Linked DNA regions of Caenorhabditis elegans. The protein of the gene in region 1 purifies or fractionates together with the protein of each later gene. This does not show direct contact. Each region holds a gene or a part of one and is shown on either strand. Other genes may lie near its edges.

The links.
Region 2: the proteins of valv-1 (region 1) and Y10G11A.1 fractionate together in Caenorhabditis elegans (co-fractionation; one large-scale study listed by BioGRID). This does not show direct contact.

Annotation. Positions count from the first base shown.
Region 1 is NC_003282.8:7,443,884-7,446,987, reverse strand, and holds valv-1 (Cysteine-rich protein 1), read left to right. Parts: upstream 1-1,651; 5' UTR 1,652-1,680; coding exon 1,681-1,720; intron 1,721-1,771; coding exon 1,772-1,872; intron 1,873-2,112; coding exon 2,113-2,226; 3' UTR 2,227-2,349; downstream 2,350-3,104. Other genes in the region: B0496.1 (BTB domain-containing protein), read right to left, coding at 1-91, 137-598; unc-82 (Protein kinase domain-containing protein), read right to left, coding at 2,628-2,731, 2,780-2,850.
Region 2 is NC_003282.8:16,422,724-16,430,524, forward strand, and holds Y10G11A.1 (5'-nucleotidase), read left to right. Parts: upstream 1-1,913; 5' UTR 1,914-1,926; coding exon 1,927-2,255; intron 2,256-2,940; exon of another isoform or gene 2,941-2,941; coding exon 2,942-3,031; intron 3,032-4,608; coding exon 4,609-4,978; intron 4,979-6,005; exon of another isoform or gene 6,006-6,131; intron 6,132-6,764; coding exon 6,765-6,881; 3' UTR 6,882-7,172; downstream 7,173-7,801.

The DNA.
Region 1 (3,104 bases):
TTGAAACAAAGGATTCAAATGGCATTATAATTTCAGCTAACTTGTTGTTTTCCAGTTTTTGCTTAAGAATCGGGGAATTCAAAGCAAGTATCTAAAAGTAACTTATGTAACTGAAACACAACTCAATTTAACTTACTCCAGAATTGGCATATATCATTTTCTTTCCATCTTCAGATCGAATCAGGACATCCAACCACTTGCTCTTCTTTTCAAAATCAATGAAATCTTCGATTGCAATTCCAAAAGATGACTTTCGAGTAATTTTCAGTTTCACCTGATTGTATCTTCGATCAATAGATTTAATCATGATCGTATTAACATTTGGAGAGAACTCAATTTCGTTTTTGATGTTGATAACCTTCCCTTCCCCAGTAAACTGAAGGTCCATCTGAGCCAAGAATTTCCAACGAAACAGACTTTCCTTCTCACATCTTATTTCAAATTTTCCGTTAGCTGTGTTCAGAACCGTCCAGAATCCAGTCAAGTGGAGTCCAAGAATGTTACAAATGGGAATTTCAACTTCTTCCCCGACTTTTGAGTCTTCTGGAAGTTTCAAAAGCTTGCTCGCTGTCGGAATTTTCATCGTAATATCGTTCATTTTGATTTCTGAAAAATTTCCAGGGAAAACTATAACCCTTTAAAAGTTGAATTTACATGTGATACTTTTGATCCAAATCACTTTGTTTGTTGCCAGAAATATTGTGAAATACATTTTGTTAGAGTGAATTTCTTAAAACCACGATTTAAATTTTTCTTCCACGTATTTCATATGAATTTCACTTTTTTTCCAGTTCACGTTCTTTCACAAAATTACAGTTCAAATTTTCAAAAATCTTCGAATTCTTTCAACACACTTTCTCCGCAATCCATCAACATTCCATTTGTTTCCCTTTCTATTAATTTCCAAATTTCCGCCTGCTTTTCAAATTTCCATCGGAAATTCAATCAAAAAGACAATTGATACAAATCTCAAAGACCTAAAGCCCCGACTTCCATTTTGAATGAGGTCAATTTCTTTGATTGACAGAATTTTTTAAAATAAAAAGGGCTGAAGTGAGAGAATGAAAAATCGTTCAAATTTGGGTTAAGAAGGTCTCCTCTGTCCACTTTCATTTTCGAATCTATTCATCTCATTTGCATTTGTTTTCTTCCTCATTCGTACCGGTCTCCGGTATATTGTCTTGTGTTTTTTGATTCATTTCATGACTCATTTCAACATATTTTTTGTGAGAACCGTCGTTTCTGTCTATTCCTTAAGACACCCACAAAATAAACAAATAAACCATTTGGTTTCGTTCTTTTTTCCAACTTTTCTCTGTTCCTGTCCACTATTAACTTTCGAAGTCTCGACTTTCGTGTAGTCGATTCTGTCCGCAAAAGGAGTTAATCAAAGTTCCGCAAATAAATTTTCAGATTAAAATGTTTCCATTATTCTCTCTCTTTTTATCTCACTTTACCTCTAACTCTAAGTTTAGCTCGTTTTGTTTCTGTGACTCATTTCTTTTCTCTCCTCCTCCCACTCAGCTGTTTCATTCAAAATTTCCGAAAAAAGTTCAGTGATAAGTGATAGGCGTGCATGTCTTAACCATCATATAAATACTTCTATCTATTGACATTTCTTCGGTACTTTCTTCGAATTTGATTTTATTTTAGTTCCTCTGCAAAACCATCGTAATAATCATGCCAAACTGTCCAAATTGCCAAAAACCTGTATACTTCGGTAAGTTGTTTTTTCAAGTTATATGTCATGATAACTGTTTAATTGTTTCAGCTGAACGAGTTTCCTCTCTAGGAAAAGATTGGCACAGACCATGCTTGAAATGTGCAAATAAAGCATGCGGGAAAACATTAAGTGCTGGAAGTCATTCAGAGGTATGTTTTTAAAAGTTAACTTATAGTTTTTGGTTATGGTAGGAGTACTACCCAAAGTTCTTTATCGTTTTTTTCAATTCAATCTATTTTGATAAACAAAAAAAAAAGAGTTGAATTAGATTTTTAAAATTTTTGCTGTACTATTGAGTTGTGGGTTTTGAAAAAGTACTTGCCGACTTTCAATTTTCAGTTTTCAATCAACTTCAAAAAAAAGTTTCTAAAAAATTAAATAATTTTCAGCACGAGGGTAAACCTTATTGCAATCGTTGTTATGGCGCTCTTTTCGGACCAAAAGGATACGGTCACGGAGGAACTGAATCACACACTTTCCTTCAAGGAACTACTGGAAATTAAAATTCATAATTTCGTTTGCCTGTTTTCCAAAGATGCTTCAAGCTCACATTCATCGCCTACTACGACTTCATAATGTCAATTATCTGGCCTAGCAAACTTTTCAAAATAAAATATTTTTACTGCAAAATCAAAATTTTGAAACAATGATGAAAGAATGAATGAAGACGACATGTAAAGAGTCATTGTTGACTAGGTTTTTGGGTGAGAGAGAAGATGACATTTTTAATAAAAAAAGAATAATATCGGACACCCGATAGTTTCTCCATACGATATTTACAAAAAAATGAACTGTAGAAAGTGGTGAGCAAGAATTTTTAAGTTACAAAAAAAAGAGTTTTCAAATTATTTTTAAAGTTTACAAAAAGAGAAGGAAAAGAAAGATGGCAAAACTGAAAAAAAAGTTAATAAATATTTGGATCATCATACCAATGACGGCGTTGATCTGTTAGACCAGGAGTGTATGAGTAACGATTGAGAGCGCTGGACGTATCACGTGAGGTTGAACCTGAAAATCTATCAATTAAAATAATAGGGTTTCTGTGAAATAAAGCACCTGGATATTTTCTATATTGGGCAACATATGGCTCGCGAGTTGTGGAAACCGGATTTGAAGATGTGTAGTTTCTGAAATTAATGGAATCATAAGTAGATTGTTAAGGTAACTTTTGATCACAGTTTAATGAAGTAGTACAGTGCGTCCAACTTCTATAGCACCCCCCTCCAATTGGGCGGTTTGGAGCTTTTGAAAATATTTTTAGGAAAAGTGTTAGTGCAGTTCGATAGCTTAGAAACTTGACTTGGGCACAGTTTCTTCTATTCTTCGACAGAAGTTTTGAAGTTTTTAAAAGGTTTTCTAAATTTCTCATAACTTCTACATA
Region 2 (7,801 bases), 9.0 Mb from region 1:
AAGATGAGAGTTTCGAAATTATTCGCAACGCTGAATTTTTCACATTGTTCACGTGGAGTCAGAAAGTCCCATTTCGTTTTGATCTTCGAAAAATGCAAGAAAAGAGACGCATACATCTCATCTCTTTTCGCATGGTTAAGAGCGTGCTGACGTCACAATTTTTCTGGAAAAATATTCCCGCATTTTTCGTAGATCAACCCGCAATGAGACAGCCTGACACCACGTGATTGTTTCAATGATACCTCCCTCCCTTTACTGTGTCCATTTTCCACGAGTCGGGGATAATAATCGAATTTTTCACGCTTGTTGAATAGTTGCGACTGACCTAGAGAAAATATTGACGCTTTAGAATTTATTTTTTCGGATTTTCAAATCTACTATTAAAATTCTTATTTATCGATCCTTGAATTTTGCGAAAAATTTTTTTTAAAAACGCAACACTGCCGCACGGGGTTTTCCTCCGCCTCTTTTTCACAGTTTTTTTGTTTAAATTGATTTTTTCAATAAAGTTGCGATTTTACTAATTTTTCATCTTTTTTCGAATTGGATAACATTTTCATCCGAAAAAAGAGAAAAATACAGGCAAAATTGAAACTATTGGAAAAATCCATAAAAAAAGCAGTGTAAAAGGGGCGGAGGAAAAACCTGTGCGGCAGTGTTGCGAAGCTACGCTCCGCCCCCCACTTTCTGTGCGACAAACTTTTTTTTGCAAAATTCAAGGATCGATAAATAAATTTTAATAGTATGGATTCAGTTATAAGATTTTTTTGCCAAATTCTACGATAAATATGATGTATGTGGGTCTCGCCACGCTTTTTTGAACGTAGCTTTAAACTACTGTATATCAGGGGTGGACGGCAAACAGCGGCCAATTGCTGGTAATTTGCCCATTTGCCGGAAAATATCGTTTGCCTAACACCCCTGTTGATATACTTTTATGTAGCTTCCTTAAAAATATATAAAACGTCGTTTTCAATTAATTTGTACAAAAAAATGCTGTCTGAAACTCGGAATTTATGTTATTTTCTATAAACTTTTTTTAAAATCGTTTCGCATTTAAAAAATTCCTATCCACTGCAACTTTTTCCTCACGAGGGACGAGGAAAAGTGGTTTCTAGGCCATGGCCGAGGGGCCGACAAGTTTCAGCGGCCATTTATCTTGCTTTGTTTTCCGCCTGTTTTCTTTCGTTTTTCATCGATTTTTTTCGTTTTTTCTTAATAAAACTGATAAATAAATATTTTTTGCAGATGCTAAAACAATTTCCAAGTTAAAAAATCATGTATTCAGTGGGCAAGCAGCGGTGAAAGTGGGCATTGTAATATGATGGATTACGGGAATACAAAACCTAAACTTTTTCTGAAACATGATACATATGATGCTTAAATGCTGAGACTACCTGATTTTCATAACGAGACCGCTGAAAAAGTTTTGAGGTTTCCAAAATTCAACTTTTTTGGTGAAAAAGTCGAGATTTTCGTACAAAAAGTTGAATTTTGAAAACCACAAAACTTTTTCAGCGGTCTCGTTATGAAAATCAGGTAGCTTCAGCATCTAAGCATCATATGTATCATGTTTCAGAAAAAGTTTAGGTTTTGTATTTTCGTAATCCATCATATTGCATTGACCACTTCCACCGCTGCTTGCCCACTGAATACATAATTTTTTAACTTGGAAATTGTTTTAGCATCTGCAAAAAATATTTATTTATCAGTTTTATTAAGAAACAACGAAAAAATTCGGTTAAAAAACGAAAGAAAACAGGCGGAAAACAAAGCAAGATAAATGGCCGCTGAAACTTGTCGGCCCCTCGGCCATGGCCTAGAAACCACTTTTCCTCGTCCCTCGTGAGGAAAAAGTTGCAGTGCTATCCAAACTCCAATTTTGTATGAAAATTCTCCCCAATTTTTTCCAGCTCCTCCCCAAAAATGGTTGGTTCCTTAAAACTCGACGAACTCCTTTCCCTACCACAAGTCCACGTTAAGGACATTAAATCACTAACTGATAAGCTTCAAAACATCGTCTCGGGCGGTGCAGATCAACTGATGGTCATTTCGGATTTCGACTTTACACTGTCCAGATTTGCCGATAAATCCGGCAATCGATGCTCATCGTGCTATTGTGTATTCGATAGTGCTGTTGGAACGAATAATCCGGAATGGTGTCGGAAATTTGTCGGATTGTATCATAAATATGGTCCAATTGAGCACGATCATTCTCTGAGCATTGAGGAGAAGGTTCCGTTTATGGAAGCATGGTAGGATATCGAAAATCTGGGTTTTTTAGTGAAAATTTGAGATTTTTAGTGAAAATTTGAGATTTTTAGTGAAAATTTGAGATTTTTAGTGAAAATTTAAGATTTTTATGGAAAATTTGAGATTTTTAGTGAAAATTTGAGATTTTTAGTGAAAATTTGAGATTTTTAGTGAAAATTTTAGTTTTTTAAGTGAAAATCTGGGATTTTTACTTGAAAAATCGTGAAAAAACCTGAAAATTGAGCTTTTAGTGAAAATAACTACTTGAATATGAAATTTTCAGCTTAAAAATCCATATTTAGACGAAAAATTACGGTTTTCAGTCTAAAAAAATTGAAGAAATAACTGAAAATTGAGATTTTCATGAAAAATTCGTATTTTTCGGTGAAAAATCGATAAAACAACTCGAAAACGCACTGATTTTTCGATTTTTAAGTATAAAAACCGAACTTTTCACTCTAAAATTGATCGTTTCTCAACTGAAAATCGAATTTTTTGAGAAAAAACAATCCCAATGAATGAAAATTCATACTTTTTGGAAATTTTTGGTGAAAAATCGATAAAATAACTGTAAAATTGGGCTTTTTTGGTAAATAACTGTAAAATTGGGCTTTTTTGGTTTAAAAAAATCGATTTTTAAATCAAAATTTAGCTAGGATTACTAAAAAATCCACACAATTCTTTGCAGGTGGCAACAATCTCACGGACTAATTATTCAAGGAGGATTCAAGAAACAGGCTATTGATGACTATGTGGCACATTGTAATATTCAATTGAGGTACTGCAACATGTGTGCTTACCTGCTACGTGGCCGAGAAATGCGGAAAAATTCGGCCACCACAAGTTTTTTCGCGGCCACCGAAATTTTTACAGGAGAAAAATGGGGGGTTTATTGGCGATTTTTGGTAGAAAAAATTTTTAATCAATTATTTTTCAGAAAAAAATTTTTCGGAAAAAAACTTCAAATCAGGCCAGTTTCCACATTTTTAGTAAAAAATTATAAAAATTAAAAATTAAAAAAAAAACTTAAAAAAAAAAATTTTTCAGCAAAAAATTATTGATTTTTTCCGCAAAATTGATTTTCTACAAAAAAAATCGATTTTTCCAAAAAAAAAAATTGATTTTCCAGGAGAAATAATAAGAGATTTTTCAATTAAAAATTTTTTTTTCAGCAAAAAAACCTCAAATTCGGGCCATTTTCCTAAAATTTTGACCATAAAATTTTACCCCAAAAACCTAACATTTTGACCATTTTTCATAATTTTAGTAGAAAAATAAAAATTTCCAAAAAATATTTTTTCAGCAAGAAATAATTGATTTTCTACAAAAAATCGATTTTTTTTCAAAAAAAAAACCAAATTTTCCGAGAGAAGATGCCAATTTTTGAGAAAAATTGATTTTTCAATTAAAAAAACCTAAAATTTTGGTCATTTTTCATATTTTTAGTAGAAAATTATAAATTTTAATGTCTGAATAAATAAATATTTTCATTTTTTTAAATTCACTGCAACTTTTTCCTCACGAGGGACGAGGAAAAGTGGTTTCTAGGCCATGGCCAAGGGGCCGACAAGTTTCAGCGGCCATTTATCTTGCTTTGTTTTCCGCCTGTGTTCTTTCGTTTTTTACCGAATTTTTTTTGTTTTTTCTTAATAAAACTGAAAATAATATTTTTTGCAGATGCTAAAACAATTTCCAAGTTAAAAAATCATGTATTCAGTGGGCAAGCAGCGGTGGAAGTGGTCAATGTAATATGATGGATTACGGGAATACAAACCCTAAACTTTTTCTGAAACATGATACAAATGCTGCTTAGATGCTGAGACTACCTGATTTTCATAACGAGACCGCTGAAAAAGTTTTGAGGTTTTCAAAATTCAACTTTTTGTGCGAAAATCTCGACTTTTTTATCAAAAAAGTTGAATTTTGGAAACCTCAAAACTTTTTCAGCGGTCTCGTTATGAAAATCAGGTAGTCTCAGCATTTAAGCATCATATGTATCATGTTTCAGAAAAAGTTTAGGTTTTGTATTCCCGTAATCCATCATATTACATTGCCCACTTTCACCGCTGCTTGCCCACTGAATACATGATTTTTTAACTTGGAAATTGTTTTAGCATCTGCAAAAAATATTTATTTATCAGTTTTATTAAGAAAAAACGAAAAAAATCGATGAAAAACAAAAGAACACAGGCGGAAAACAAAGCAAGATAAATGGCCGCTGAAACTTGTCGGCCCCTTGGCCATGGCCTAGAAACCACTTTTCCTCGCCCCCCGTGAGGAAAAAGTTACAGTGAAATTAAAAACAAAATTTCCAAAAAAAAATTTTTTTTTTAATTCCGAAATTTATTTTTCCAGAGACAACGCCGACATAATGATGAAAAAGATGACGAATCACGCGGTGCCATTCATCATTTTTTCCGCCGGAATCGGAACAATCATCGAAATGTACCTCCGACATAAATTCGGCCGAGTCGAATCGAACACCCATGTCGTGTCGAATATGATGGGATTCGACGACGACGGATATGTTAACTCGTTCTCCGATCCTCTGATCCATGTTTTCTGCAAGAATTCATCGGTTATGCCGGCGGATCGCACGTTTTCCGAGCAAATTGAGGGAAGGAAGAATGTGATTCTGTTGGGTGATAGTGTTGGAGACGCTTTTATGGATGTTGGTGTTGAGGAGGAACAAGTTTCACTCAAAATCGGATTTGTTAATCATGATGTGAGGAGCATTTTTCAACGGAAAATCTAGAAAAAATCGATTTTTCCACATTTTTCCCGGAAAAAATCCGGTTGACGCAGTATTTTTTCTCGCTTTTTTACATGTTTTCCCAAAAAAAAAAAACTCAGAATGTCACGCTCCGCCCACAAAATGGATGTTTCCATAAAAATGGGCGTGTTTTACATGCCCCGCCCATGAAATGGAAGTTTCCACCGAAATGGGCGTGTTTTCACATGCCCCGCCCACAAAATTGATGTTTCCACCAAAATGGGCGTGTTTTTACATGTCCCGCCCACAAAATTGATGTTTCCACCAAAATGGGCGTGTTTTTACATGCCCCGCCCATAAAATTGATGTCACCACCAAAAGGGGCGTGTTTTTACATGCCCCGCCCATAAAATTGATGTCACCACCAAAATGGGCGTGTTTTTACATGCCCCGCCCATAAAATGGATGTTTCCACCAAAATGGGCGTGTTTTTCACAAGCCCCGTCCATAAAATTGATGTCACCACCAAAAGGGGCGTGTTTTCACATGCCCCGCCCATAAAATGGATGTTTCCACCAAAATGGGCGTGTTTTTACATGCCCCGCCCACAAAATTGACGTTTCCACAAAAATGGGCGTGTTTTTTACATGCCCCGCCCATAAAATTGATGTTTCCACTAAAATGGGCGTGTTTTCACAAGCCCCGCCCACAAAATTGATGTTTCCACTAAAATGGGCGTGTTTTCACAAGCCCCGCCCATAAAATTGATGTTTCCACTAAAATGGGCGTGTTTTCACAAGCCCCGCCCACAAAATTGATGTTTCCACTAAAATGGGCGTGTTTTCACCAGCCCCGCCCACAAAATTGTTGTTTCCACCAAAATGGGCTTGTTTTTTACATGCCCCGCCCATAGAATTGATGTTTCCACCGAAATGGGCGTGTTCTCGCAAGCTCCGCCCATATAATGGCAAAATTTTCCCCGAAGACAATGGAATCAGAACTAGTAACCCGTGTGAATCTCACTTTTTCAAATGTTTCCTTGAAAAATTAAAATTCAGAAGCCCCGCCTACTTTTTGGCGCGAAAATTCAAACTTTCCTGAAAAACCCCGAAAAGGGCGGAGCCTGAAAAACACGCCCATAAAATGGTTTTTGTTTCCAAGTGGGCGTGTCTTTGAGGCAGCCCACTTCTTGGCAGGAAATTTTTTTTTTTGAAGATTTTACGAAAAAAAAAACTCGAAAAAGGACGGAGCCTAACGGAGCCAAGCCACGCCCATAACATGGTTGTTTTGGCCAAAGTGGGCGTGTCCGAACAAGCCCCTCCCATTTAGAACCGCGCCTTGCAAAATTCTAATGGGCGGAGCAAAACAGCCATTAAATGGGCGGGGCTTGTTTGAACACGCCCACTTTGGATAGAACAACCATTTTATGGGCGTGGTCTGGATCAGTTAGGCTCCGCCCCTTTCTGATTTTTTTCGTAAACACTTTTGAAATCGAAATTCTGAAATTCCCAAAAAAAAATTAGTGCAAAACCATATTTTGCCGAAAATTTTCGGCAATTTGCCGGCTTGCCGGTTTGCCGGAAATTTTCAATTCAGGCAATTTGCCAATTCGCCGGAAAAAGATCGTTTGCCGCCCACCCCTGGAAACAACCATTTTATGGGCGTGGCGTATCGTGCTGAACTAGTGAAAACTAGAAATTTTGAATTTTCGCGCCAAGAAATGGGCGGGGTTTCGATAACTCGCCCCCACTTCTTGGTACAATCGAAAACAAAACCCCAATAATTCTGATTTTTTCAGGCTGACAAGCTCGTCGACAAATATCTCAACTATTTTGACATTGTCCTCGTGGACGATCAATCGATGGATATTCCCAATCAGATTTTGGAGGCGATTTATAATAATAAAAATTACTGAATTATTCGTTCCTTAAAAAAAATGTTTTTTCCCAAAAATTCTCATTTTTCAATTTTACCCCCCACCAAAAAAACCCCCGATTTTTCATTGTTTTCCCTGTTATTTTTCCTTTTTTTTTCCCAATTTTTACTCATTTTCCTCCGTTTTTACCAAAAAAAAAATCAAATCTGGAATATCAGAACAGCTTTAAGATTTCCACTCTTTTTTATGGCATAATTTTTTTTTTCTCCGCATTTTCACCATTTTTTCTTTTTGAAAAAAAAATTTCCAATAAATTGTTAGCTGCTTTTTAAGATATTTTTGTTGGCAATTTTGGGGAAAAATCATCAATATTGAATAGAAACTTCGTAGCCTAGGATTTCCAAGTTAGGCCACGTGGCCTAGGTTTTGCAAATTCGGCCACGGGAGCATTGACGGACAAAATGGAAATGTGCTAATTTTAATTCCATTCATCTGTACAAAAAAAAAGAGAAAAATCGGAATTTCCAGTGAAAAAACCACGTGGCCTAGGTTTTGCAAGCTCGGCCATGACTTTTATGTAAAAAAATGTCGAATTAAACTTTTATTACAGGCTATTTACGAGAAATGCTTAAATTTAAAATACAAAGGTAGGATTTCAAGCAGTGGCCTAGGTTTTGCAAGTTCGGCCACCGAATTTAAATTTAAACAAATGGTTAGATTTTCCCAATAATGCAAATTAACAAGTTTACAACAGTTTTTATTCAAAAATATCATAATTCGTTCGAAAATCTCAGTATTCTCTATTAAATCACCGCGTGGCCTAGATTTTGCAAGTTCGGCCACAAAATTCAATAATGACTTTAACCAAACGATCTAGAATTTCAACGGAATTTCACTTTTTTCAAACTGTATTCAAAACTGTCAAAAAAATTAAAAGTTCAATTGAAATAACCCAGAAT